Canis lupus familiaris: one gene and its partners. The protein of the gene in region 4 interacts with the protein of the main gene of each other region in a biochemical or structural test. Links are inferred from orthologs where the notes say so. Each region holds a gene or a part of one and is shown on either strand. Other genes may lie near its edges.

Region 1 (4,318 bases), on a different chromosome or scaffold from region 4:
CGGGGCTGCCGTTGGGGTGCCCGAGAAGAGAGAGGCAGCTGAGGGGCGTCTGGCGGCCTCGTCCGCGAGGGCTCAGCTGTAATGATCCCGGGAAAGGGTTTCCCGCATCCCACGGGAGAGCAGGCGCTGCACAAACTCTCCTGTCGTGCGAGCAGTCCGGGCACAGGGACCATCCTTTGCAGTATGGGGGTCACGTTGGCGTAGGGGACTCGCCGCAGCCCGCAGCCCGCCGCCCAGGTGCCCCCCGAGGGCCAACTTCGCAAGTGGCCCGCTGAAGCCAGCGGCCGGCCAGTTGCTCTTTTCTGCGCGGCGGGGTTCCCGTAAGCGGCTCCCCGGGTCTGAGGCACCAGTGCTTCCTCGGCTCTCACGGCCCCGGGTGCTGCCCTCCAGAGAGAAAGGTGGACCCCCGTGGTGGCGGCAGGGCTGCCTTCCCCCCAGGGGAGGGGGCAGGATGGTGTTGGCCGTCGTCCACGCTGGGGGGACCTTGTGGACGTGCTTCCATCTAGAAATCGGAGTGTGAGCAAAGGTGTCACAAGGTTGTGCTTGCTCGCCTTGGGCTTGTCGCGTTGCTGTTTGCCCCTGTGTCCCCCCACCCCGCCCCGGCCTCCAGGTGTCTACAATCCCATGTGTTGTTTTTAGGACAATTTGGTGTCCTTTCTGCCTGTTTTCTGTGTACGTGAAAGAAACCGCTGGGGTGGGGCGTCCGGGTGGCTCAGTGGTCGAGTGTCTGCCCTTTGGCCCAGGGCGTGATCCCGGGGTCCTGGGATCGAGTCCCACATTGGGCTCCCCACAGGGAGCCTGCTTCTCCCTTTGCCTGTGTCTCTGCCTTTTCTATGTGTTGCTCACGAGTAAATAAGTAAAATCTTAAAAAAAAAAAAACCGCTGGGGGCAATTTTGGTCCATTAGCGACCATGCACAGACGTCAGCAAGTGTGGGCTCCCAGGCAGTGTCCTTCTGTGTCCTATCCCCTGTGGCTGGCCATATAGATGGTAAGCTGGACAGCTCGGCCTCACAGCCCTGCTGGTGTCTCAGGTCCTTCCGTGTGGCCCTTTGAAGAGCTTCACGCCTCTGACACACGGAGGTCCCCCGAGCCTGGGGTCTGTCCTGCGGGAATGGCACTCACCCTTGCGCCGCGCCCCGGGCAGGCAGCGGGCCCACCTGGTGATGACCACGTCAGCTCACAGATGGAAACGTGCTCAGTCTGTTTGGACAGGTGTGGAGAAACAGCGAGACCAGCGATGATCCCCAGCAGGCCCCACCCCCTCCCGCCCTAGCAGCCCCTGTCGCCTCTGCGGTGGGGTGGGGACCGTGCAGGGCCTGGGGCCAGCAGGATGACATGGTTAGAGATCTGGGGAGCTGTGAGAAGATAGGAGACTGGAGATGGGAGATTGGGGGCTAGGGGGTGCTAGGGCTTAGAGCATGGAGGGCCTGGTGAGAAGAGACGAGCTGTGGCACCATTGCTGTCACCCAGCCAGGCTGGGGAGGCTCCTCTTGCAGGCGGATGCATTTGGGACTGCAGCTGAGCCATGGAGGTGGGTCAGCCGCCTTCTTGCCGCTTCTAGAACAGTGACTGGGAGGGAAAGAGTCGCCCCCAAGCTGGCTCTCTGTGGTTGTCCCATCTCTGGTAACCGTGTGTCCCCCCTGCCCCCCTGACATCCGAGAGCCACGTCCTTTCTCACGGCAGATCGGCTGTGCGTTGGCAGGATGTTCTGAGCAACTCCTGCCCCCGTGACGGCGCTCTGCCTGCAGGCCGCAGAGCTTCCAGGGCCGTCGGGCTTCGAGCTCCTCCTCAGTGCCGCGGGGATCCTGTGAACGCCCCGACACCCTGCCCCCCACTCCTGCCGAGGCCCTCCCGTGACCTCCCCCTTCCCCCGTGCCAGGGCCCGGGCTGCCAGCGAGCAGGCCCGGCAGCTGGAGAGCGAGCGGGAGGCGCTGCAGCAGCAGCACAGCGTGCAGGTGGACCAGCTGCGCATGCAGAGCCAGAGCGTGGAGGCGGCCCTGCGCATGGAGCGCCAGGCTGCCTCGGAGGAGAAGTGAGTGGCTTCCTGCCCCCGGGGGGACAGAGACCAGAGGGCCATCGGGGGCTTTCTGCCTGTCAGCGAGCCCGTCTGCGGGCCGTCCCTTACCGTCATCACACCTACACGATCCATCTCTGATGCGATGGTATGTGCTCTTCAGTCCACGTCCGGACGCCCCCTTTGGGCCCACGTGGCAACAGCGTCTGGTCCCAGTCCCTGCATTGCATCCGTTGGTGTGCCTTGGAGTCTCCATTAATCTAGAACACTTCTCCCACATCTCTGTGTTTTTCACAGAGTTCACTTTTTTGAAGAGCCCAGGACTGTTCCACTTTATTATAGACGGTTCTTATTTTTAAAAACGTTAGCCTTAAACAAAGGGATACTAAGCATTTAGTAAAGCCTGTCTTAGGGCTGCTGGCCTTGAAGGCACAAACGCACCCTGCAAGCAAGCCCCTTTCTGGTCTGTGGACATGAGGAGGAGGACCGTGGAGCGGGGTCAGGACAAGGTGGTTTCTCCAGCAAAGGCTCCTCTTCCTTAGGCGGAAGCTGGCCCAGCTACAGGTGGCCTATCACCAGCTCTTCCAGGAGTATGACAACCACATCAAGAGCAGCATGGTGAGCAGCGAGCGAAACCGAGTGAGTATGGTGGGGCTGTCGCGGGGACTGTAGGACTGACTTTGCTTCGCTTCCTCTCCCTGCCGCCTAGAAACAGCAGAGCTCGGGACCTGCTGCCACTGATTTAGGGCCATGGGAGCTCAAGTTCTTATTTGAACACTTGCCAGAATTTGATTTTGGGGGGGATGTTTGACTTGTCGTAGACCTTTGTCAAGGTCGCAGTGTGACAGCTCAGCGCGGGTGGTGGGAGACTGGGATCCTAGGGCTGTGCTGTGTGTGGCCTACGGTCCCCTGGGCCGGGCCTCTGGCGGCGCTCTGTGTGGCCTGGGAACATGCTTGTCTCCGTGGCCAGTCCTTCCCACCAGCTTGGCTCCTGGCTCAGAGATCCCAGAGCCAAGGTGAGGCGTGGGACACTTCATCACACTACTGGGAGTGGTGCTGGGAGCCCTTTTCTGGTTGGTTTTCATCAGACCTGTACTGGGTGCAATGTCAAGTGATCGCGTTTTAAGAAGGATGCTGTCAAACCCGAATGTACCCAGGGGACATCTCTAAGGCTTGTAAGGGTAACACCTGACACCGACCACACCAGGAAGAGTTAGTTACACAACTGTGGCCTTTCGATCTGCAGGAGGAAGGCTTGCTGGCATGTGTGGCTGTGTCTGTGTGTGCATGCATCTGCGTGTGTGCATGGGGGGCTGAGGGCATCTGGGAGGGAGCAGCAGACCTTTGTAGGATGGCAGGGTGGCAGGACCCACAGGTCTCAGCTTCGTGGCGGCATGTGGTGGACTGTTAGCACGGGAGAGCAGCTGAGCGTGGAGGGGATGGCCTCAGGAGGGAGGATGGCCCTGTCCGCTGAAAGGTTAGAGGTGGGCTGTCCGGCTGGGGATTCTGGGAAGGGAGTGTTGGCCTGGGTGGGAAGTTGTGCCACATGATGTCAAAGGTTCCCTGTAGCCTCTGCCTTTCCTGTGCCGTGCACGCCCTGTCGTCTTGTGCTCTCCACCACTCCAGGGTTGGCCAGCCAGGGCCCATCTTTCATTGATTCCTTTTGGTTCTTCTCACCTGGAGCAGCAGCCGGCCTGGTGGCAGCCTGGTGCCTGCCACGGGCCAGTTTGGGCTCCTGCAGTTCCCCCTTGCCCGTTCCTAGGGAATGCAGCTGGAGGATCTCAAGCAGCAGCTCCAGCAGGCCGAGGAGGCCCTGGTGGCCAAACAGGAAGTGATCGACAAGCTGAAGGAAGAGGCCGAGCAGCACAAGATCGTGATGGAGACCGTCCCGGTGCTAAAGGCTCAGGTGAGGGCACTTCTCTGTGGCCCGTGTGCGGGTCAGCCGACTGGGCCTGCTGGGCCCTGGGCCCTGGTATGTATGTCCCTGGTGTCATTTTGCGGTGGCTTCACGGAAGCCCTTTGAGCCCCTTGCTCTTCCTTGATCTGTCTGCGCTTGGCGGTGACTCTCTGTGCCCCGGCTCTGGGAGGGTGGGAGCCGGCTGTCCCCGATCCCCCAGCAGGCAGTGAATGGCCCACAGCTGGCGGGCGTGCCCCTCTCTTGGCTTTGCCAGGCGGATATATACAAGGCCGACTTCCAGGCCGAGAGGCAGGCCCGGGAGAAGCTGGCTGAGAAGAAGGAGATCCTGCAGGATCAGCTGGAGCAGCTGCAGAGGGAGTACAGCAGGCTGAAGGCCAGCTGTCAG
Region 2 (4,821 bases), on a different chromosome or scaffold from region 4:
TAAATACTATCTATTTTACCAAAATAAAAAAACTGGAAAATACAAAGTTAAATTAGTTTCTTTACTAAAGAACTTCTCAGAGCTTTTAATATGCTAATATCACTTTTAATATGCTAATATCACTCTCCAAGTGAAACAATATTACATACAGAATTTACCCAATGTATTTGACTACAGTATCCTTTTTTCAAAGCATTTCACAGGACTAATTTTCCCAAACACACTTTGAGAAGTGCTACATTATTCCCTAGGAAGAATTCTTTGGTTATTTTTGCCACTCTATCATAGCAGCGGTTTCGCGCCTGCCTTTGGCCCAGGGCGCGATCCTGGAGACCCGGGATCGAATCCCACATCGGGCTCCCGGTGCATGGAGCCTGCTTCTCCCTCTGCCTGTGTCTCTGCCTCTCTCTCTCTCTCTCTCTCTCTCTCTGTGAGACTATCATAAATAAATAAAAATTAAAAAAAAATTTATAAATATATCTGTTATATAGGTTACCACGCTGTACTTAAAGTGTTTTTGTGTCTACCTCTCCCACTAGACTTGAAATCTCCTTGAGGGCAGAAAATACGATTTTTGTTGACTGGGATACCATCAGCACCCATCCCAGCATAATAATCTGATAAATAAACCATCTCACATCCTTTTCTCTTCCTCATTGTGATTTAAGAGATATAGATAAAATACTGGGGACGTGGCTTCCACCAAAACACAAAGATCTTGAAAACTGTTAAGGGCAAATCCAAAGTCAGGCTTGGAAAAGTAATGAAGCTATTTCCAAGTCTTAGAGTATTTCTTCTCTTTCCACTACAAGCCCCGTTGTCAAATGTTCCAATTTGAGGAAAGAACCAGTCTAGATACCTGGAAAGTTCCTGAGAGATTTCTAGGATTCTAGAGGAACCCAAATCTCTTCCATTTAATAAGTAATTAATTCCATGGAGACAGAAAGTAGAAAGGTGGTTGCCAGGGGGCAGGGGGAGGAGGAAATGGGGAGTTATTGTTTAATGAATACAGTTTCAGACTGGTAAAGTGAAAAAGTTCTAGAAATAGATGGTAGTAATGGTTGCATACCAATGTCAATGTACTTAATGCCACTGAACTGTACACTTAAAAATGGTTAAGATTGTAAATTTCACATTATATATACCTTATCACAATTTTTTTAAAAAATGATGTGTTGATCTATTTCCAACCAGTGACCAAGAAAAGCAGTCACAAAGCAAGCTACCAAGCATATATTTTTTTATGACCAGGCTAATGAACAGGCTTAGATAACAACACCAAAGGCAACATTTCACTGGAAGTACTTGGCTCCTTCTTTTCTCTTTAAGTGCCTTATGTACTCTCTGATGGTGAGAATTATTAAATTTACTACTTGTTTAGCTGTCAGAGTACTTAATGCTTTAGTCCTTCACCTCCCATTCTCCCTCTCTTCAAGATGTCCTCCCATGCTCTATCTAGAAAGCTGCTTCACAACATTTCTTCAGCTCCATCACTGACATTTGTCATTGTGACTGCCACACAAACATACCTATTTTTCCCAGGTATACTCCCATGCCCCTACCTCCCATCCTATATTATGGGCTCTCTACCCATACCCCTATTCCTTAAGATTCAAGCAAATCTTGAATTCATTTATTCCCTTTACAAGCCAATTGCATGCATTTGAATAATATTGTAATTGTTCATCTTGTCCCGTGTTTTTCACTCAGATTTATCTTTTACAAAACAGTCCTCCAAGGGCGCCACTTTTATCTTGACGTATCCTTTTTTAAGTTTAATTAATAATGGTAAAGAAGAAAACAAAATAATGGTAAAGAAGATGACAATAGCAACAACACAACAGCAGCAGGAACTAACACTTGAGGGCTTAACTTAGGCCAGGTATTGTACTTAGCTTTACCCATATTAACTTCTTTAACTTTCAAACAGACCTATGATGTATATAACTATCTTACACAAAATACAGATGACAAAAACAAAGGCAACACTGCAAAGATTATCAGTCAAGGGTTAATACCTCTAAAAGGTTTGTGAACATCCTTCAGGAGAGCATGAGCCCCCTCAAATGGCAGCACCTAAGGTGGTGGGGATGTGCAACTGTGCATTTTGCTGGGGAAAGGTTTCATAGCTTTTATTGGTATACTGAAAGATGCATGGCTCAAACATGATTATTAACTGCTGCTAAATGCTTAAACATTTTCAATTAAATTGAAGCAAAATTCCTGACTCCGATGTTAGCTGTCTTCCACCTCACGCCCAATCTACTTCCTTCCCTTAGGAAGCCATGATCATTTCACCAAGCTGATCCTCACACTGTTCCCTACTCAGAACGCATTCCAAGATCTGAAGCCTACTGGATGCTTCCGAAACCTTCCTTGTCTCTTCCAGCCCCTACAAATATCACACAGCCTCCAAGCACACACTTGAACACACATTCCAACAGACAACCCCCTTCTTCAGTCCCGTTTTCTCACCCATTCATGCTCACAATACACACTCTAATGTGGCTCTGCCTCCCACATCCCGACACCCTCTACACTCGGAGACACAATCGCAGTGTCACACTCGGTAAACAGTTTGTCACTTCTTGACGTTCGTACCAAAAGTTCCCCCACAAGAGCTCTATTTCACACACTGACCCAGGACCTCAGATACAGCTTCGGACTCAGTCACCAGACCGACAAGCACAGTAATACACACTCACTCACACAGGCTCACCGGCCCACGGTGCTGCCCAAAGTCTCACCGACAATGTCTCACGTACTGACAGTCGCTGTGTTCCACAAACGCTCTGACAAACACCCACCGCCGCTCCCTCTCTCGCCCCACCTCACCCGATGCTGGTACAGACAGACGTTCCCAAAGCCGCCAGTGCCCAGCCGCTCCCGCATCTCCCAAGGCCCGCCCGCGCCCGGCCGCAGCCCCGGGGGCCGCTCCATGGGGCGGGAGGGCTGGCGGCCTGAAGTTCAGCCACTCTTCCCAGGCCGGTTCCGGGCCGCCGAGACTCGCGCGTCTTTCTTCTCGCGAGATGTGTGCGTCACTTCCGGTAACCGCCACAGGAAAAGCCCTTCCCTAGCTGCTCCCGGGGGCACACAGGAACCTGGCCAGAGAAAGGGTCGGGATGAGGGCAGCTCGCTTCCAGTCCGCTAAGTCTCCTGGGCATTCTCCTGGCTGAGAGAACCCACATAGGATTTCCCAGGCTTCCAAACTATAAGCTCTCCATTCAAGCCATGTTCTAAACTCCACATCGTCTCCACCCTGTCTGCATTTCACCTTTTCTTCAGACCTCTACCATCTATCCTCCAACTCCGCCGCTCGCTGAAGTGGCACTGGCAGAAGCCACCAGTGATTCAAATATTGCGGAATCCGAAAAACTATAAAGAATCCTGCGCTAACACGTCTACCGATGCATTACACTTTATAGTTTTTTTTTTAATGATTAATCATCTTCCATAAAATCAGGCTCAGATCTTTTGCTTGACTTCCTGTACACCTGTACCAGGATCTCGCCTGTAATCACAAAGGACTCAAGGATGTGACACTGTTGTGGAGTAAAGAATGTTCCTCCTGATTTGGGGAATTTTCCCCGAAGTGCCTCATGGAGGTTGCAGTCCAGTGGTCGGTCTTCCATTAATGGGTTTGCCAGTGCAGTGGTTCCTCACTGAGGGAACTGTGTCTGATTCGTGATGCAGCGCTGCAGAGGCAAGCTTCAGGAATGCTGTTGGTGCAACTAGAAGCATTTGCCATTGGCAGATAGCCTTAGCATGGAAGAACCAACCTCCCATTTTCACTTTAAGTTGGTCATATGCCTCAGCCTCACAGAACTTGGGGATCCAGTCAGTATATCCAGAACTGGGTATAAAAATTACTATGGCATCCAGTTCTCTGAAGAAATATATCAGTTACTGCTTCCATAAAGTAGTCATTTGAACACCCCTTGACATCATGTGCACTTGGGCCATCGTTTGCACAGTCCCACCTGTGATCTCAGTACTTAAATTCCAACCAACACTTTGTGACCCACAGATTAACATGTTGAGAAGCCTAAAGATGAATACAGCATGTGCATCACAGCAGTGTTGCTGGCTGCTTTGAAAGCATTGAATTGGCTTCTGGCAGAGAACATGCATCTATTGATTCAGAATCCCTGAATGGTACAACCAAAATGTTGAGCATGGCATGTACAAGCCGTGTTAGGCCTCAGTAATGTGTGGTAGCAGATGATGGATTCCTACATGTGCTTGGTTGCTATGGAGCTGGAGTATCAGACTTGGAGGTGATGGCAAATGGTACTTCCCAAACATCTGCTAGAGTTGGGCAGACTGCACAGATGATTGTGGTACCAATTGCCCCTAACATATAAAGCCCTTTGTCTGCTAGGTGTACTGCATAGCTAGCACTAGAGTATGTTTGATCTCCACAGTTGGAGCCATATTCTTGTAACGCTCACTTGGAAGAGCTAGGGAGGGATACTGATGAGTGCGCTGACCCTGAAGTGGTCATAGTTGCAGGAACCAGGTTGTTTGCCATAGTTGACTCTTCACATCCCCATTCTCAGGGATGCTGCATAGCTTGTTTTTAAATCCTGGAACAGTCAACCTTAGGTTTCACAATCTTCAAGTTTGAGAGTCTGTTTTTTCACATATAAAATGGAAGCAATAATGCTTACCTCAGAGGTTCTGTAAGGATTAAGTGAAACTGTTTGGGCCATAAATGCCCAATATAAAGGAACAATTATTTTTCTCTTGGCTTCCAAGATATAGCATTCTGTGATCTTTCCCTCTCTTTTTCATGTACTTGTGGACCACTCTATTTCCAAG
Region 3 (5,092 bases), on a different chromosome or scaffold from region 4:
TGGGGCCCCCTGCCTCACCGATGATCATGGAGAAGACGCGGGTGGGCTCCTTGCCCGTGACCTTCTTGTAGAGCTGGGGGTAGTACAGCTCCAGGCTCTCAAGGAAGGCCACATAGCCCTTGTGACCGGTCCGCTGCAGGATGTCCAGGAGCACTCCTGAAACCCACAGGGCCAGGCTGGGGCTGGCTGGGCTTGTGCACTGAGCTCCTATAGGCCCAGCCCAGGTCAAGATCTACCTGCTGCCCACGCACCCTTGCCCTCCCAGGGGTGTCTGCTGTGCATGGAAGCACCACGGCTCCCAGCAGACAGGACAGGGTGTGGGGTGCTGGGGAGCGCCCATTCCTGTGCTCAAAGCTCCCGGCTGAGGCAGCACTGACCCACTTTCCGCTTGCGGATGACCAGGTTGGGGTCACTGAGCACCTGCTCCTCATCATCGGGGTTCAGCACCTTGCATTGCCTCAGGTAGGGCGTGATGCGCGAGGGGTCGATGACGGAGATGAGCTTCACTCGGAAGCTCTCCAGGGTACTCCAGCACTGGTCTTCGTTCTCATAGTCTGACATGGTGGCGGCCACCGCTGCGATTGGTGGGAGAGCAGCTGGCAGGGACAGTTGCATGCTGGGCCCAGGGGAGTCCAGGACAGGTAGGTGTGAAGCCTCACCCGCCCTGGCCCTCCCTCCTCTGCGCTGGTGCTCTGACCGGGGCACCAGCTCAGCCAGGGCAGCCCTCCCGGCCTTCTCTAGACCCTGCAGCCACTCCCTCAGCAGGTGACCTAGGCTTTCTCTGTCCAAGTCACCCTGATAAGTGTGAGGGAAGATGTGGAGGCGCTTCAGGGACTGGCGGCATCTGAGAATACCCCCCCCCCCACTGTGGCCTTGTTCTGGCCTCTGCACCCCCATCCCTAAAGCGTGAGTCTGGCAGACCACCACCTCGTACCCACTGGCAGGGCCTCCCTGGCAGGTACAGGGAGGTAGGCGCCCAGGCTGGGGAGGCACGCCTGGGGCATTGACCTGCCCACGTACACGCCAGCCTGTGCTGCTGTAGGACTTCCTCCTTCTTGGACATGGCTCCTGCTCAGGGCCTAGCCCCACCGCCTCCTCTCTTTCCGGCGGCTGGCTGGTGGTGCAACAGTGGCCCAGGCACCGGCTGGCTCAGGAAGGGCAGCTGTGGACCGCTGCACCAGGAGGGGCCCAGCTGCATTGGCATGGCCAGCACCCACGCCGCTCCTGTGCCCTCTGCAGACTCCTAGGGACCAGGCACCAGCCACCTCTGGGCTCCTCTCCCTGTTCCTGGGCACGCAGGGTGCCAGCTCCCTGACCAGGGCCATCCGTGTTGGGACTACCCACTGCTGCTCCCTTCCACTGGCGGGCACAGACCACGCTCGAGGCCTGGGCCAAACCAGGAGCCTCCTCCCAGTGGTGGGGACAGAGACCCTGACTTGCCACCTCAGACTGCCCTCAGCCAGCGTAGGAACTGTGGGCGGAGGTTTGCCACCCAGAGGAGCTAGGCCATACTCCCAGAGACAGACGGCAGCAGGCAGGGCCTCTGGAGGAGCTTCCTGAACTTCCTGCAGCCCTTGGCCACACCATCCAGCCAGAGAGACACCAGCAACTCAGTGGATGGCCCTTGGAACGTTCAGCCCGCTTCCTGCCTTTCCCACCTACATCCACAGGTCCCACACCTGACCCCTGCCTCTAATTCCACCGAGCTGAACAAGCAGGTCTCAGGTGGCTGTGAAGGACAGGGCAGGAGTGGAGGCCCTGGGTGCTCTTCTGGGGTATGTGCCCCAGGAGCCCTGAGCAGAGAGATGGGTGTCTTCCTGGCCACCCTGAGAGGGCAGCCAACCAGCCTACCTCAGGGTCCTCGAGAGGCACCTGTGCAGTGGACACTGGTCAGCCCAGGCTGGCCTGATCCGATGAACAGGAGGTGCTGCTGGCAGCCCAGTGGAGCTCAGGAGGAAAAGCTGTGCACTTCCTGATGGTGCTGCTCAGCTCCACAGAGCCGGGAAGGTCCTCCCAGAGGGAGTGGGTCCTTGGGCCTGCCTTCTGATTCGCCCGCCTGGCAGGGCCCAAGAGGCGGGGCAGAGGGAAGTGGAAGTCCTGCTCAGAGGCCTGGAGGCCCACCCCTGGCATCCACTAAGTGGAAGTGTGAGCAAGGACCCTCCCCGGAGCTGGATGAGGCCAATGCACTGTCTAGTCCGCTCTGGCCTGAACGCAGGCTTCTGGAGGCTTCTCCACCAGGGGCTGGCTGGGAACCTGCAGCGTGGGCCCTCTGCAAAGTGCAGGAGATCCCAGGGCTTCAGGCCTAACTCTGGGATTTCAGCCAGATGCCCACACACACAGTAGGCCAGCCGGGCCTTGATCACATGAGGGCTGGTGTAGCGTCCAGAAGGCATGTGGCTGGAGACCCCACTGTGGCCTGTCCGTGCTTGCCCCACATGGCCACCGGCCCCTGCTACACTGCACACCCTATCCCTTCCTGGGAGTGTCTCCACTTAGCAACCTCTTTACTAGGACACTCGGGACTGTGACAGCAGGCTCCCAGGCCACTCATCATGGCCCCGCAAACCAGTTTCAGAAGGGCTGTTTCTGCCATCAGAGCTGCACCCAATAGCCAGGATAGCAGGCCTCCAGACCAGGGTCTGCCAGGAAACCCCCAGGCCAAGGCCTCACTGGCGCAGCTGGGCCGGTTGGTCCAAGTTGTTGGCTGCCAGGCTGAGGCAATTGCTAGGGAAAGGCCAGGATGGTCCTGAGCAGGGCTCCCAGCCCCACCTTCCCATGGCAGCTGCCTCTTGCCTGACAGGCTCCCCGCCTGTAGGCTCTCGGACCTCTGACCCTGGGTGGATGGAGGCTGCCATCGCGCTTCCAGAACAGCCAGTCCTGGGCCCTCCAGGAGCTATGACCAGCAGTGTTTCCCTGCTCTGCAAAAGCAAATTAATAAAGGGTGTCTCCCCCACGGGGGTGTTGGTAAGAATTCAATGACAGAAATGTTCTGTTCTCTGTATCAAAAGCCAGAAATCAATAACAAAAGGCTAACTGGAGAATCCCTAAACGTTTGAAAATAAAATAAGAGACCTCTAACTAGCCATAGGTCTAAAGGAGCCCCCAAGGAAAGCAGAAACGAGCTGAAAAAGCCCCAGGTGCAAACTGAAAAGCTAAGAGCTTGTGCATGAGGCTGCACGGTGGTGGGTCAGCCCCCTGGTGGGTGGGTACAGCACCCCAGGGCATGCTCACACCTGGAGAGCACAGGCATGAAGCCTCTAGAACCAAGCACCTCAAAAGGCTGCACACCAAAGCCAAGGCTGTGCACCGCGTCCCTCAGAGCACCAAGGGTGCTGGGGCTTGGCCTCCCACCAAGAAGCAGCTGCTCAGGAGGAAGGCAATGCCGGCCTGGGGCCGCTGCGTGACTTGTGGGCAGGCGGGCAGCCGCTGGTTCCAGATGCCTGCCTGGGTCGGCGGTGTGGTCAGGAAGGCAGTGAGGCAGGTCCACCCCATTCCCTGTGGCCCCACCAAGGCAGCAGCTGCCTGGTAGCTCTTGGCAGGCCCTGGGGCTTGAGCCACAAGCGTGTTCTGTGCAAAGGGCACTCCCCACGTCCTACACGGTGGCCCGGAGCTCAGGGGGTTCCTCAGACCTCAGGGCCCAGCCATCCGGGTCCTGGCACGGTCAGGGGAGCCCCAACCCTCTGCCCAGTCTCTTAAGGCAACAAGAATCTGGGGCTTGCCTTTTAATAAAAAAATAAGCCATTCACTTTATTCCTTCAAACATTCCTTCCGATTTGTGCTGGAGGACTAGCCAAGCCCCAGTGGCTTCACGGTCACACGGCGAAGCCTCCCCCAGCCTCCAACTGCTTTAGGCTGCTTCCTCCGGGAGGGTTGGAGCTGGGCTCCACAGGCAGGTGGGCTCACTGGGGTCCAGCATGGCTCCCGCCTCCTGGAACACAGAGATGCCCAGATGGTGGGGACACCCTGACCCCAGCCAGACCCCAGAGATGGTGCTGTAGGATAGGAACCAAAGGTGGCATTAGGCCTCCTCCGAGGGCGCAGAACCGGGTCTGGCTGCCCACCTGCAGTCCATGCAGGGGGCCATGCTGAGGGCAGGCCCTAGAGCCTGGGTGGGCTTCTGATGCCCCCACCCCCACCCCCAGCATCCCCTCTGTGGACCCTCTCAGGGCGCAGCCCCACTACACTCGCAGGAGCTGGCTCCCACCTCTGTAGACCAGACATCTTCCCCCACATGGGATCTCTGCACCATGAACTCAACTAATCCGTACTGAGGGCCTACTTGATGCCTGCTCTCTGGGCACTGAGGACCCGGCAGCAAAAACCAAATCATATCACCGCCCTTAAGGGCTCACGTTTATGGCAGACACGCATGTAAACCATGTCGGGTGTAGAAGAGACAGTGCTAGCAAGACAGACATTGACAGTGGTACTGCCCCAAGAGAACAGGCAGAGAGAGCATCTCTGAACAGCCAAACACTGAGCAGACATGATTGGGATAAGGGAACAAGCCTTACAGACATGGACGAAGGCCAGGCAGAGGGGACAGCAGTGCAAAGGCCCCGAGGCACACGTGGGTCAGCAAGAAGGAAGCACCAGAGCCTGGAGTGTGCAACCCAGTGGGCGAGGGTGTAGCTAGGGGAGAGGGATTACATGGCCCTCCCCACAAACGGCTCCCATAGGCCTGTATAACCCTCCCCATCACACTTGATGTGAGCTCCTAAGGGCGATGATAGTCTGCCCCACATCTGGAAAGCTGTGGGCTCCTGTGTGCCCAGAACAGAGGCACGGGGAAGGCCCATGGTATAGGGGTACCTGCACCCACCCCTGCCCCTGCTTACCCTGCTGCTCACACCAGCCGTTGCCGCTTCCGGGCATGCCAGGCATGCCGGGTTCTGCGCACATCAAGGCTGTCACAACCGTCCAGGCTCTGCCCAGGGTCTGGGGCTCCCTGAAACAAAAGCCAGGAAGAGGGCACAGGAGTGAGTCCCCACTAGGACAGATAGGGAGAGCAGTGGCAGCGAGCAGTCACGCCAGGGGGTAAGCTACATGCTGACAGCACAGTGCAGGGTCAGGCTGCTCCCCAGACCTTATC
Region 4 (5,056 bases):
CCTCCAGTGGCTTCCCCTTTGACTCAGAGTACACCCATATGACTCAGTAAAATCAGGTTACACATTTACAGTAGCACACAAGGACCTCATCTCCTTCCCAGTCCCACTGGATATTTTTCATTGGCTGTTCCCTCTACTCATAATGTTCTTTCTCCAAATGTCCACATGACATTACCTCACTCTCTTCAAGTGGTAGCTTAAATCTCCTTTTCTCAGTGAGATCTTCACAAACTACCCTATTTTAAACGTTACCACTCCAGTACTGAGTGATGAATAATGTATAGAATTGTTGAATCATTATATTGTACACTTGAAACTAATATAACACTCTGTGTTAATTATAGTTGAATAAAAATATTTTTTTTTACTGTTAACATCCCATATACCCTTATCCTACTATCCTGTTTTGTATTTTCTCTTAGCATTTGTTATCTTCTAACAGAATAACTTTACATATCATTTTCCAAATGTCTATTTGCTCTGCCCTGAAACACATGTATGCTGGACTTTAAACTCCAGGAAGAAATAAATTTTTACCTATTTTGTTCATAGCTGTTTCCCCAAACCCCAAAACCGTGTCTGGTGCATAGTTGACATTCAATAAATATTTGTAAAATGAAAGAACAAATGGTTAAGTAAATTGGGTTAAACCAAGATGAGGGAAGATTAAGCAATCAGATAAAACTGTACTGTGGATCAATGTAGGAAAAGACACATGATGTAATGTAAATGTTAGAAGCTTATGATGGAGCCCGAAGCTGCTAAGAGACATCTGTGTGGCTTTGGCAACATTGTCCTTTTCTGGTTCTTTTGCTTTCCCTTCCTTTAAATGTTAGAGTTCTCAAGAGGTATCCCACTGGCTGGTTCTGTGGGTAGAGCATGTAACTCTTGATACTGGGTTGTGAGTTCAAGCCTCATGTTGGGTGTAGAGTTTACTTTCAAAAAATGTTGGACTTCCCAAGTTTGTCTTTGTCTATCTACCTCTTGTCCTGTCTACCCTCACTGCTTCAAATACCACGGAGTTTATTCAGCATGTTGTCCAAACCATTGTCTTGGGCCCATTGTCTTGTGTTTTGAACTTCTCATCCACATTATTCATTCTTTTTTTAAAAAAAAATATTTTATTTAGTTATTCATGAGAGACACACAGAGAGAAGCAGAGACAGAAGCAGGCTCCTTGTGGGAAGCCCGATCCTGGACTGGATCCCAGGACCCCAGGATCACCACCTGAGCCAAAGGCAGATGCTCAACCACTGAGCCACCCAGGTGTCCCCATTCTTCATTATTCATGTTGTTCTGTATACACTTCCATTAGTAGTTAGATACCATTCTGGGCGTAGTTGTCTGCTTATCAGTCTCCCCCATAAAAATAGAATTCTTCTAAGATAAGATGACTAGACATATTAGTAAGGACTCAATAAGTGTTTGGGTAGTAAAAGATCATCATAAACGGAGTTCATACTGTATGCCAAGTACCTCTGAGAACCTTACATATATAGTATCATTTAATTCTCACAGCAGCCCATAAGGGATGTAAGGTAGACATCCCTTCATCACACAGATGGAACAAATAAGGAAACAGGATCATAAAAAAGTGACCAAAAAGCATGCTGACGTTAAATCGAGTGCTAAAATGAAAGGATTATAGGCGGTTTTTCTCTTTCAAAAATGTCTTGACAAAAAAAAAAAAGTCTTGACTATTGCAGCGGAGCTGCCCGCGGGCCGCGTCCGAGCAGGCGGGTATCTAACCCCACAGCTTCAGTAGGTTAAGGCAGCGGCCGGAAGCTGCGGGGCGGGGTCTGGGGAAAGGGGAGGAGCCCGGGGGGGACGGTCCGGCAGAGACCCGCCTCCGCCGGCGAGCGGTCCGCAAAGGCGGGGCCTGCGGCGGGAGGAGCCTCGGGCCCCACCCACGGAAACGCTCCCGGCAAAGGACGCGCGGGGGCTGTGGGCGGGGCCGGGGGCGGGGCCAGGCTCGGGCCCCGGGCCGGCAGCGATTGGCTCCCGCTGGGAGGGGGCGGGCCCCACGGCCAGCCCCGCCTCGTCGGGGGGCGGGGCCTGCGCCGGCGCCTCCGGGAGAGGAAGGAGCGCAGCGCGGAGCCCGCTGGGGGACGCCCAGGTCTGCGGCGCCCTCGGCCCCAGAGGCGGAGCCGGAAGCTCTACGGGCTCGTCCGTGAGCCTCTGTTTTGGAAGCGGCAGCCCTCTTCCTCTCGACCCGCTCCGCCTGCCCTTGTCGCCGCTTCACCCGGAGGCCCGAGTCCCCTGCCTGGCCGGGCGGTGCCGCCGCAGCTCCCGGACCCGGAAGAGGCGCTACCCCGCTCCTCCGCCATGGAGCCCGCTGCGCCGTCCCTCACCGAGGAGGACCTGACCGAAGTGAAGAAGGACGTGAGTAGCCAGCCTTGCCCGGGCGCCGCCGAGGGCCGGGGGTCGCGGGTGGGCAGGGGCAGGCCCGGCCGGGCGGGCGGGCGAGGAGAGCGGAAACGCGGAGTGGGAGTCCGAGCCGGAGAGGAGCAGGAGCCTGCGGGTCCGAGGGGCTCCAGGTCCGGGCGCTGCTGCACGACGGCGCCCGAGGGACCTCGGTGGAAGCGACCCCTCGTGACCTGTTAATCCACGTTTAGGTCGCTGGGTTCTGAAACCCTGTCCAGTGGAGCGTTTCACCGCACTCAGCTTCTTGCCGACTCTCCACTCCTCCCCGGGGATCTCTACCCCCCACCCCTGCGCTTTGGGGCCGCGTCGTCGGGAGTCGACTGCCCAGGTTCCGCCTTGAGTCACACTCCCTAGGCTGCTGGCCCAACCTGGAGCGACAGCTGGACCCGAGAAAGGCTCCAAGCAGTGGAGCAAATATGTGAAACTCTCTTATAAAGGGGGGTTGGGGGAAGCTCAACAGCTGAAAGCACAACCTGGAATTCCCCTAGTAAGCAAACGCCCACATATTTAAATTGGGGGGTGGGTGTAGCCGAAAATTAATTTACAGGTAAATGCTGAAAATATTCAGTACCTAAATTATGCCCTTTTGCTTGGATGCTGCAGAACTGCACAAATCTTAGTACTTATTTGTTGAGGTATCTCGTTTCTTTTGCTTTTAATTACTTGTTTTGCCACGTGAGACCTGTAGGAGTACCCCCAAAATACTTCGTGTAATTTCGAATTAAAACCAGAAACCCAACAGAAAATGAGTTCTGCAGCACTTAATACAGAATTATATTTGTGAACTGGACAAGACAGCAGCTTTTTTAGATGTTCATCTACCTTAGATGCTTACCCCCTTTTCTCCCTTGAAAGGTTTATTACACTGCACTCATAATTACATAATGACAATTGGAATGACTCATTAACAGAAGGAAACTGGATATGACAGGGATTTGTGCCTTAGTTTGCTCATTCAGCGATACAGATGGAGCGCTTAGTATATGGAAGGCACTGTCCTTGGGCCTGGAAAGATACAAAAAAAAAAAAGATAATCTGGCCTCTGCTTTATATTCTAGTCGAGATAAAACCGGGACATTGATAACTACCACAGAATAAATGAGTGTTGTCTTATATAAGATTGGTGCCAGTGGAACCATGCACTTCAAGAGCTAAGCCTGTGGTGTTCCAAAATCTTTGTCACATAATTTGCAATGTTCCCATTTAATCTTTACAGCAGTGCTGTGAGAGGTTACAGTTGGGCATAAATATAAAACCTGTACACAAACACAGTTGTGAAGAGTGTCTTCCAGGTCTCTTTTTTATTTATTTATTTATTTATTTTTTCTCTTTTTTTTTATATATTTTTTCATTTATTCATGAGAGACACAGAGAGAGAGAGGCAGGCAGAGACACAGGCAGAGGGAGAAGCAGGCTCCATGCAGGGAGCCCGATGTGGGACTGGATCCCAGGTCTCCAGGACCACGCCCTGTGCAAAGGCAGGCACTAAACCATTGAGTCATCCAGGGATCCCCAGTCTTCAGGTCTTTATTCACTTTTTTTCCCTGTCAGTTCATTGATACTATCCATCTCCATGATTTCAATTTACAGCTATCTCAGCAATTCATAATCTTGGGGAATCATGAAGGGGTCTCAGGAGGTCTATGAAAAAAATGTATGTGCACATTTTTTTTCTTAGAGATTTTTTTCATGCTATTTTCAAAATGGTTGATGACCTCAGTCTTAAAATTATCATACAAATATTTGCACTTCCTTCTTTGTCAACTCTAGATGCTTGTTTCCAAATATCTACTGGAAATTTACTTTTATGTTCTGTACACTCCTCATCTTGTCAGAAATTGAACTTTTTATCATCCCTTCCCCAAAGCTGCTTGCTATATTCTCTGTCTTGATGGATAGTATGCCACCACCCCAGCCTTCTGGAAAGTCCCACTCTTTCATTATGCTCCTCCCTTCCCCCTGCCCCCATCAACTTGTTTACCTCATCTTTTGGATTACATGCTGCTGTGAGGTATGCATGGTTCTAACAATTCGAAAATTAGAAATTAAGACGCAATCCCAGTTTGAAAAGAGCTTAATTTCCTGGAAGGAGGGAAACAGACATAAATTAATAATTGCAAATTACAGAATAAGTGCAATGAATTTTGCATTCATCTAGAACACTATCTACTTGACACTCTGCTAAGTGCAGGATATACAGAGTTGAACAAAACAAATGTGGTTTTTGCCTGCTTCAAACATATAGGTCATTAAGGTTGAAGACAAATATATGCTTACAAATTATGCTAAGTACTATGAAGGAGACAAACAGGTATTGAGACAGTAGCAGGGGGAATCAACTTGACATAGGACGGTCAGGGAAGGTTACATTTAAAGTGGTTGCTGAAGAATATAGCAGAACTGGGGCAATAATCCTCTAGGCAGAGTAAGGTTTGTAAAGGAACTAAAACAGGCAAGACCTTGGTGACTTGGGGAAATTGGAAACAGGCAGAGGGTGCTCTGAGAAGTTAGGAAGGTTGGCCTAGAGCCAGATCATGGAGGATTTTACAGATGGTAATAAAGTATTAGGATTTTTCTCAAGTGTAGTAGGGGTCTGCTGAAGAACTATGTTAATATTTTTAATCCCTTTGCC
Region 5 (5,022 bases), about 49 Mb from region 4:
TTGTGGGTTCTTTTCACTTTCCTGATGGTATTGTTTGCAGGAAAATTTTTAATTTTGATGTGGTCCACTTGATCTTTTCTTTTGCCACTTTCTGAACTGGTGAAATAGCTAAGAAATCAGTGATAACCCAAGGTCACAGATATTTACTTCCATGTTCTCTTCTAAGAGGGTCGTAATTTTAGTCCTTACATTTAGGTCTGTGATCCACTTTGATATGCTATTTGTGTATGGAGTGAGGTAGGGGTCTAAATGCATTCTTTTGCAGATCCCAGCACCCTCGTTGAAAAGACGTTCTTTCCTCACTGAATGGTCCTGGCCCCTTTGTTGAGAATCAGTTGTCTATAAGTAAGGGTTTATTTTTGGAGTCTCAATTTTATTCCATTATGTATATGTCCATCCTTAAGCTGGTACCAGAATATCTTGATTACAGTAGCTTTGTAGTGAGCTTTGAAATCAGGAGGTGTGAGTTCCTCAACTTTGTTTTTCATTTTCGAGATTGTCTTTGCTATGCTGGGCCCCTTAAATTTCCATATCAATTTTAGAGACAGCTTGTCAATTTTTGCCAAACAGCCAGAGTAAATTTTGATAAGATTGTGTTAAATCCATAGATCAATTTGAGGAGGATGAACATGGATGTTTTCCCATTTATTTAGATCTTTAATTTCTTTCAATGATATTTTTAGTTTTTAGTGTATAAGTCTTCATTTCTTCTGTTAAATTTATTCTTTTTTTCAAAGATTTATTTATTTATTTTAGAAAGAGAGTGGGTGCATGCCAAGGGGAGGGGCAGAAAGAGAGGGAATGAGAATCCCCAAACAGACCCCTTGCTGAGTGTGGAGACTGACTTGGGGCTGTATCCCAGGACCCTGAAATCATGACCTGAACTGAAACCAAGAGTTGGCTGCTTTACTAACTGAGCCACCAAGACACACCTGTTGAATCTATCCCTAAGTATTTTACTGCTTTTGATGCTATTATAAATGAATAATTTTCTTAATTTTTTCCTTAAGATTGTGAATAATTTTCTTAATTTTGTTTTCATATTGTTTATTGCTAGTAGAATTATGATCAATTTTTCTATAATGATCTTATGTCTCTCAATCCTGCCAAAATTGTTTATTAGTTTTTAGTTTTTTTTTTTTTTTTTTTTTTTTTATGATAGTCACAGAGAGAGAGAGAGGCGCAGAGACACAGGCAGAGGGAGAAGCAGGCTCCATGCACCGGGAGCCCGATGTGGGACTCGATCCCGGGTCTCCAGGATCGCGCCCTGGGCCAAAGGCAGGCGCCAAACCGCTGTGCCTCCCAGGGATCCCTGTTTATTAGTTTTAAAAGTGGATTTTAGTAGATTCCTTAGGATCATGTCATCTGCAAATATAGATTGTTTTACATTTTTTTTCCTAATATGGATGCCTTTTCTTTCTTTTTCTTGCCTAATTGCCTTGGCCAGGTGCTCCAGTGGAAGTGCTGAAACAAGCATCCTTGTCTTGTTCCCATGGCAACATACTCTTGAACTGAACATGCTGTGTAGATGAGTTGGTGCGTGTTTGGGGTGGACTGTGGAACTGAACTAACTTCCCCGTAGAATACAATATTTATTAAATTTCAAGTAATAAAAATGTGCTAATCTGAGGCTCACATATATATTATTAAAACCCAGCAGTAACCACAGCAATTGTTTTGCACTTAGACCAATCAAAGATATTTTTTAAGAAGTAATAATTTATCATTGGCATTATGTAGAATTGCTGGCACAATTAGCTGGTCTTATTATTAATTTAAAATTCTCTATAGACAATGTGTTTTCTTTTCTTTCTTTCTTTTTTTTTTTTTTGACAATGTGTTTTCTACTGCTTGCACCCAAGCAAATGACCCTCACTGTCCCACCCTTGGTGCACTGAGGCCTACACTATTTTTCTGGCAGTCCCCGAACCCTTCTTTGACACAAATCAGACTCTGATGCACATGCCAGATCACTATGGGCCTGGGCCACAGCACCAATTGCTGCCTCGTCTCCATTCTGTGCACAGAAGACCCTCACACATGCCTGCAGATTCGACCAGAGGGTCTGGGGACCCACTGAGTGGCACTCCCTGCTCTGTCTCAACACTGCTGTTCAGGGCCAGAGGGTGGAGGATGATAGTGCCATGGGGGCTGCAGTGTTGAATCCACATACCCCTGAGTGGAGCGAGGGTATGTGAGAATGACACATGCTACTGTTACTCATCATGTGACCCTGGGCTGTGGCTGCAGCTCTTTCAGTTTCTCTTCTGTTAAAAGGAACAGTGGTAGAGGCTTGACCAGCTGCCGCCACCTCGGCCTCCTCCTTCTTTCACTGCCCACCTCAGAATGGAAAGTTTTGTTTCTGTGGCTTTGTTATTGAGCCTTTGGACAGAGTGAGATTCTGTGAATAAACGGGGTAGAAACAACTGGTTGGTTTCATTCCTGCCCTCTTGGGGCTTGCATTCTTGGCCTTGTCAAAATGTATTAAAAAATGTATATTTAAACTGAATCATTTTGTTTTTTTACACAGAGAGGGGGGAAATAGAGTACAGTTTCCTAATGTGAGCTCACTAACTGAGATTAGCCATTTTGAGGAAGAGGAGAGCTGTTTTGAATAAGGAGGTGCATGCTCCAGAAGAAGCTGTTAACAGGAGAGGCCATCAGGGCCCCCGCTCATGTCCCCTGGTGCTCACACTTCTGGCTACAAAGTCTGCACCATTGCCATCTGCAGCCACCCGGGACTCCCCACCTAGAGGCTTTCTGTGGCTCACACGAGCAGCTCTCAGCTAATAGCAGGTACAGCTGGAGGGTGATCACCCACCCCAAGTCACTCACCTGTATAGCAGGGTAGGTAATCTGAGGTGTGCTCCACCTGTCTCCCAGGGGTCCCCAGCTGGTTTCCAGCTGCTTACCATGGTAACTGGATCATGGGAAAACCGTTACTCGTTGCCTTCATTCTCTGTCCAACTTCCTTGCTCTCTGACCGGGATGTTCTAGGACCACTTCTATGTAAACCGCTTGCCCTCAAATCTTTTTGGGGGGGTCTGCTTCTGGGGTCCTCAACCCAAGACAGAATAAAAGGCATGAGGGAGAGGCCTGAGAGAGGGTCTCTTGGGAATCAGGAGTGGCCAGGGCCACTTCCCTTTTTTTTTTTCTTGGTAATGTAATCGACCACAGTAAGGGTTAGCAAACTCCAGCCTGCAGGCCAAACCCAACCCCACAGTCTGTTCCCCTGCAGTCTGGAGCTAAGAAAGTTGTTACTTGGGACGCCTGGGTGGCTCAGTGGTTGAGCAGCTGCCTTTGGCTCAGGGCGTGATCCTGGGGTCCTGGGATCAAGTTCCACATCACGTTCCCAGCAGGGAGCCTGCTCCTCCCTCTGCCTCTGTCTCCGCCTCTTTCTGTGTCTCTCATGAATGAATAAATAAAATCTTCCTCCCAAAAGTTGTTACTTCGTTTTGTTTTATTATCTCATGATACAGGGATGTTTACTTTTAGAGAATCTCGCTTCTTTTTTCCCCTCCAGTGTTGAGATATAATTGACATGTAACATTTTCTTAGTTTTAGGTGTACAGCATAATGATTTGGTGTACTCACATACTGCGAAATGCTCACCACAGTTAGTTCGGTTTGGTTAACATCCATCACCACCACACAGTTAACAGAAATTTTTTCTCGTGATGAGGGCTTTTAAGATTTACTCTTTTAGCAATGTTCGAATATATAATACAATATTTTTAGAGCTCCATTGTAAGGTTCCCACACTTGAGTGTGACAACATGCTGAAAACTGCCACAAAATTGTGTATTTTAAAATATTTTCCTGAGAGAAATGAACTCTTTTAACTAAACACAGTGTGATACAATCGTGCTTTTCCCACGTCGATTAGAGGGCTTATGTTAAAAAGACGTTGATTCATTATGCAGGAAGGCGGCGTGGGTCGATTTACAGCAGTAGGAGGAAATGTGTCTTCCTTCTAACGTAGTCCGTATGCTTCATCTGGAGATGTCGCAAGCCCGCGTGGGAAGCCTTTTGGGAATGTGTGGTCTGGGTCACATGATCTTGAGCTGAGAAACCAGTAAATTTGTTCCAGGAAGCTCTTTTCTATATCTGCAAATTGGGGCTTATAATTCCTCCCTTAGTGGTTTGTTGTGAGAAGCCAGGGAGGCTGGTGAGTAAATATGTGATCTGATCTGTTTCCTTTCCTGCCCCTGACACTTGCCTTTAAGAGGAGGGTGGAGCCAAGGAGAGCTTTGTGTGGCTTCTTTAAAGTTTCCAGTGTCTTTGGTGAGTGTCAGACAAGTGTCAGATGAAAGGTGGTCTAGAGATATAAGATGCTGCTCTGATTACAATAAAGCTTTATGCTTGAGGTGATCATAAATAACAGGAATAACAGTAAAAGGGGAAAAGAGTATTGTAGCTCCAGGTGAAGGAGCCCACCTGTGCTACCTGAACTGTGGGTCAGGGACCAGGAAAACGGAACTGCACAGAGCTGAGGGACCGTGAACACAGACTCTGAGAAATTAAGCCCATCCCCTTAGGAGTGAGGAGTTTAGAAGGGTAAAGATCTCTGTGCTCCTGGGTGGGTGAAGTTGGTCAACCCTTCATCCACTCTTCAGGCACCTCTTCCTCTCACCCCCAGAGGGCGCTCTTTCCTCCTGCCTTGACACGCCCCCAACCCCCCCCCCCCCCCCCCCCCCCCCCCCCCCCGCCAGCGCCCTTCCACCTGGACCTCTCCCAACTGTCTCCAAGGCTCACCTCCCTGCAAATCCCACCCATTCGAGGGTTAGGATTGCACCTGGTAGTCAACAAGGCTTCCTATGCACCAGCGCTGTGCTGAGCCCTCTGACCTAGGATCTCAACCTCAGGATAATTTCACATCTTGGCTTGGGCTTCCCTGGAAGCCAATGCTGAGACCAGGATCTTTGTGCAAGTGGTTTATTTGGGAGGTGATCCCAGAAAACATGGCAGGGCAAGGGGAAACAAGGCTGGGGAGGCCGAGAACACAGGGTGCTTAGTGAACTA
Region 6 (4,318 bases), on a different chromosome or scaffold from region 4:
GTGCCACATCAACATGAGCTGCAGCCACTTCTCCAGTCGCTGTGCCAGGATGCTGAGAAGAACGAGGGCACGGTGTGGGAGGAGACCACTGCACTGCCCTCAGGCGGCCTCCCACACAAAACTGGAAGGTACGCACCTCACACACACTCACCGCTACACATACACCCGTGGCAACCAGTATGATTATTGAAAATGAATTTCCCCCTGAGAGAAAGCGAACATTTCCAGCCAGACTAATGATTTGAGTGCTTATCCTTTTACCTGATCTGCTAAAATACCCCCTGAAATCCCAGATTTCTCAACAGATAGGTCAACAGACCAATGATCACCTGGCTGCAGGAGAGTGAAATGTGAAGCTCTTCATATGCCGCAGGTGTGTCCTACCTCCAGGTGAGCCCCCTGCCCCAAGCTAGACCCCATTCTGCCAGGTTTATTTTAATCCACACCCATCCCATGTCCTCCCTCCTGAACCCCTGCAGCGCAAAACCCACTCATGGTTCCCACAACAAAGTTCACACTCCTTCCCGGGCACAGGTCTGCCTCATGTAGGCACTCTCAGCCCCCACGAAGGCCAACTCTCTTTGCACTGCCCCTGGAACATGCCTTTGCTCCCCTCACTCCTTCCCCCTCAGCCTTCCTTCCTCTTCATCTATCCATGTCCTGCACATCTTTCCAGAAAGTTCCAGCTCATCCAAAGTCGTTCCAGTTCTAGTCCACACGCTACCGCTCTCCCCATCCTCTAAATACTCATGGTAATTATTATCTGCACCACTCGGCTGTGTGTGACTGCCTTGCCACTTTCTTTTGTACTACTATACAATGTTGATATTACTATCTAAGTGTTCACATTCTGGCTCTAAGACTAGTTTGCAATGCTGTGCAAACTACAAAGATTTGTTGACTATGACACAGTATGAGGCTACACAGGAGTGCAAAGAGAAGAAAAACACAATCTGAAAAGGCTTACGGTTGACTAGAAGACAAACCCTATGCAAAACCAAATGTAATACAAACTAGAAGCTACTAAAGGTGGTAAGAGGTACAGATAAATTGTTATGTGAATTTAGAAAAGAGATCATTTCTAGATGGGGTGAAGAGTGGGAATCCATTCTAAGTTTATGACTGAGATGATCATCTCAAGTCCTTAAGTCACAGGATGCTATCCTGATAACCTCTTGAAAAGCTTTCCGATGTTACTGCAGACACCTATTTCTAAAAAAGGAAGAAAACTACGTAGAGGATATGTGCCACTGTGCCTTACCTGTTCAGATTATTGGGATAGGGTAAGGAGCTTGAAAACTTCACCGCTCCATTCAAGTCCTCACTGACGACAATGTCCATCTCACTCTTCTGCCGGACTTTGGAATGCCTGCAAACATGTCATCTCCTTGATTATAGCCCCCAAGTCACTTGGGCAAGAGGTACTTTACATCTGTAACATATCACTTTACAACTGTACAGGATACCCCCGGGTTGCAATTTTATCTTTGGGTAGCAGTCAATGCATCTGCATCTGGCTGGGATGATTTCTTTGAGAGCTGAAAAACAGTCTGTACCGCCTGAAGGAGTGGAGGCATCAACCCTCCTGTGCCCAGAGTACCACAGCCAGTACTGCCAACTTCTAATCTCATCCTTAGCTTGTCTTTATAATTTTCTCCACTTTTCATTTTATCTAATACAAAATTCATGTTTTTTTTTTTTTAAAGATTTTATTTATTTATTCATGATAGTCACACAGAGAGAGAGAGAGAGAGAGAGAGAGGCAGAGACACAGGCAGAGAGAGAAGCAGGCTCCATGCACCGGGAGCCCGACATGGGATTCGATCCCGGGTCTCCAGGATCACACCCTGGGCCAAAGGCAGGCGCCAAACCGCTGCGCCACCCAGGGATCCCAAAATTCATGTTTTGACAGAGGATACAATTAGAACTTCCAAACCAGGATCACTGCACACGTATCACGTTTATAGGATATACGCGCAACACATGCACACGCAACACACTTCCCTCTAAATGTAGGTGACTAAATGTTAACTCTAGTGGTGAATGAATTCACATTTCCCAATTTAGAGAACTTACTGATGCACCGATGCACCGGAAATAGTATTTGAAGGGGAAAAAATGTTAAACGCAACTAGTTTCAAAGCTTTTCAGTGATGAGGAAAATGCCTTAAATTTGAATTATGCTTCATAGATAACCAAGTACTTCAACACCGAACACAGGCTTCTTTGCCACAATAATCCCATGTGGTAGGCCCTGTTTTTAGTCCCCCATTCAGTGGTAAGGACATGAAGATCGGTTGACTTGCCCAAGGTCTTATAACTACAGAATGGCAGATCTGGACTCAAACCCAAAGTCTACCATTCTTTCTACTCTGTCTGAATGTACAAGTCTTTCCTTCCCAAAAACACCTGGGAAATTCAAATAAAAAAATACTTTAGTCCTGAACACTTCTCATAGGCAAGGGGTCAGCTGGCCTGTCTGGAGCATGTGGGAAGCCTACAGGCACTGGCACATGGCAGTGGCCACCGGCTTACAGCTCTGGCTGGTACTATGATTACTGTAAGGCAGGGGCAAGCTTGTCATTAGTCCATCAATGGAAAATTATAAACATAAAAGGACATAGTAAATAAATGTTTATTGGTTAGGTCCTGAAAAGTATTTCAAAGTAGCATTACAACAGAATTATGAAGCTCAAACTGCCTCTGTCCTGAAATTACTATCCACTTGCCATCTGAGACGAGAGAGTGAAATTTTTAAAAAGTTGTCTAAGGCATTACAAGACAAATGAGACAGATAATTCTCACAAACTAGTCCACTAAACAGCTCCTGACTGGGTGTCCAAGTCTGCCTGAAGTGTCACCTGGCCTTCCAGCACTGGAGTGGAGTTCTAAAAAGCTGATTCTGCAGACAACAGACTTACCATACAGATGCTGGGACATTAGGGATATATTTTCAAATAGCACTTGTTCTTCCAGTTTGAATGGATTTTAACTCATCTTGTTAAAAATAATGAAAAAGCTCAACATTTGAACTGAAGAAAAGCAGCAATTCTTTGATTAGTTAAAAATATTGATGTACAGATATTTAAGTTATTTTTATGATGGTTATAGAATAAGGTGTGACTATAAATTAATGAGCCAATTCCTTAATATTCTAGAACTTACGCAGCTCAAGTACTGCTTGTTTTAAAATAAACCACCACAGGAGGGCATACTTTGCCATTTTGCCAGACTCCAGAAAAGCAGTCACCTGGCCTTATTTCTCTTTGCATTATACATGTTGACTGAACTGGACTGCCATCACAAAAACCACTCTTCTAGAGTTGATTTCCAAGGCTAAATCTTATAAGTAAATAATTAATGATGTAAGTTAAGTACCTGTCCTTTGAAAAAGTTACTGTTTTCATTACTTCCAAAAAGATATTTAGAAAAATATAATAGCCAGTGCTGGCAATGGTATGGTAAAAGAGGCAGCTTTGTATGTTCCTGGTCAAAACATTATTCATACAACCTTTCTGTTGAGCATTTTAATACACATCAAAAACCTTTACGATGCACATAATTTTTGATCAGTTAATTCCACTTCTAGGAATTGTCCTAGGGAAATAATTATGGATCCATAAAGATTTCCCTATAAGAACATTATTCTTGGTGTTATTTTAAGAAGTAAAAATTCTAAACCACCTATGCTTCCAATAACGGGGCATAAATTAAATAAATTTCAGTATAGCCATTCAGTTGCATACCAGATATGACAAATAATGGAAAAACATAAAGGATTTTCAATAGCAAGACTGAGAAGCAGGTTACAGGAGAGTATAATAATTTGTGTTTTTGTAAAAAGTATAACATATACTGAAGAGCCTGGAGACACACAAAAATGTTCATAGTGGTTCTTTCTGGATTGTGTGAAAGAAATTCTCATGGTGTAAAAATGTTTTGTGAGCACATGCAGGACAGTTCATATTATGTTAATCATTGATGTAAAAAAGAGGTGAAACACAAACGAACCAACAGACAAGTACAGACCAATTTTCTTGTACCCATATGAAACACCCTTGGAAGCACACCAAAAACCAGTAGTAGCAGGTACCTATGGGGAAGGAAGCCAGGTGGTGGGGAGGCTGCCCAGAGGGGACTTTTCAGTGCATACTCTTTTATCACTTTTGGAAGCTTGAACCATATGAACTTATTACTGCTCTAAAACAAAACAATACAAAACAAAAACTGGAAATAAAAACAAAATTTGGGGGATCCCTGGGTGGGTCGGTGGTTTAGCGTCTGCCTTTGGTCCAGGGCGTGGTTCTGGAGTCCCGGG

The links.
Region 1: the proteins of BCL10 (region 4) and IKBKG form a complex in vitro, tested with the Homo sapiens proteins (3 studies listed by BioGRID). The link is inferred for Canis lupus familiaris from reciprocal best matches to the Homo sapiens genes BCL10 and IKBKG.
Region 2: the proteins of BCL10 (region 4) and CHUK form a complex in vitro, tested with the Homo sapiens proteins (2 studies listed by BioGRID, with this or other methods). The link is inferred for Canis lupus familiaris from reciprocal best matches to the Homo sapiens genes BCL10 and CHUK.
Region 3: the proteins of BCL10 (region 4) and CARD9 form a complex in vitro, tested with the Homo sapiens proteins (2 studies listed by BioGRID). The link is inferred for Canis lupus familiaris from reciprocal best matches to the Homo sapiens genes BCL10 and CARD9.
Region 5: the proteins of BCL10 (region 4) and CARD11 form a complex in vitro, tested with the Homo sapiens proteins (2 studies listed by BioGRID, with this or other methods). The link is inferred for Canis lupus familiaris from reciprocal best matches to the Homo sapiens genes BCL10 and CARD11.
Region 6: the proteins of BCL10 (region 4) and IKBKB form a complex in vitro, tested with the Homo sapiens proteins (2 studies listed by BioGRID, with this or other methods). The link is inferred for Canis lupus familiaris from reciprocal best matches to the Homo sapiens genes BCL10 and IKBKB.

The regions. Positions count from the first base shown.
Region 1 is NC_049260.1:123,432,917-123,437,234, forward strand, and holds part of IKBKG (NF-kappa-B essential modulator), read left to right. Parts: intron 1-1,880; coding exon 1,881-2,033; intron 2,034-2,557; coding exon 2,558-2,654; intron 2,655-3,777; coding exon 3,778-3,921; intron 3,922-4,186; coding exon 4,187-4,318. UniProt on the Homo sapiens protein: Regulatory subunit of the IKK core complex which phosphorylates inhibitors of NF-kappa-B thus leading to the dissociation of the inhibitor/NF-kappa-B complex and ultimately the degradation of the inhibitor.
Region 2 is NC_049249.1:13,186,339-13,191,159, forward strand, and holds the start of CHUK (inhibitor of nuclear factor kappa-B kinase subunit alpha), read right to left. Parts: upstream 3,011-4,821; 5' UTR 2,941-3,010; coding exon 2,836-2,940; intron 1-2,835.
Region 3 is NC_049230.1:49,108,389-49,113,480, reverse strand, and holds the start of CARD9 (caspase recruitment domain-containing protein 9), read right to left. Parts: upstream 3,312-5,092; 5' UTR 1,852-3,311; intron 617-1,851; 5' UTR 616-616; coding exon 378-615; intron 157-377; coding exon 19-156; intron 1-18. UniProt on the Homo sapiens protein: Adapter protein that plays a key role in innate immune response against fungi by forming signaling complexes downstream of C-type lectin receptors.
Region 4 is NC_049227.1:63,255,984-63,261,039, forward strand, and holds the start of BCL10 (B-cell lymphoma/leukemia 10), read left to right. Parts: upstream 1-2,058; 5' UTR 2,059-2,325; coding exon 2,326-2,382; intron 2,383-5,056. UniProt on the Homo sapiens protein: Plays a key role in both adaptive and innate immune signaling by bridging CARD domain-containing proteins to immune activation.
Region 5 is NC_049227.1:14,345,985-14,351,006, reverse strand, and holds the start of CARD11 (caspase recruitment domain-containing protein 11), read right to left. Parts: upstream 3,103-5,022; 5' UTR 2,836-3,102; intron 1-2,835. UniProt on the Homo sapiens protein: Adapter protein that plays a key role in adaptive immune response by transducing the activation of NF-kappa-B downstream of T-cell receptor (TCR) and B-cell receptor (BCR) engagement.
Region 6 is NC_049237.1:24,107,296-24,111,613, forward strand, and holds part of IKBKB (inhibitor of nuclear factor kappa-B kinase subunit beta), read right to left. Parts: intron 1,370-4,318; coding exon 1,262-1,369; intron 53-1,261; coding exon 1-52.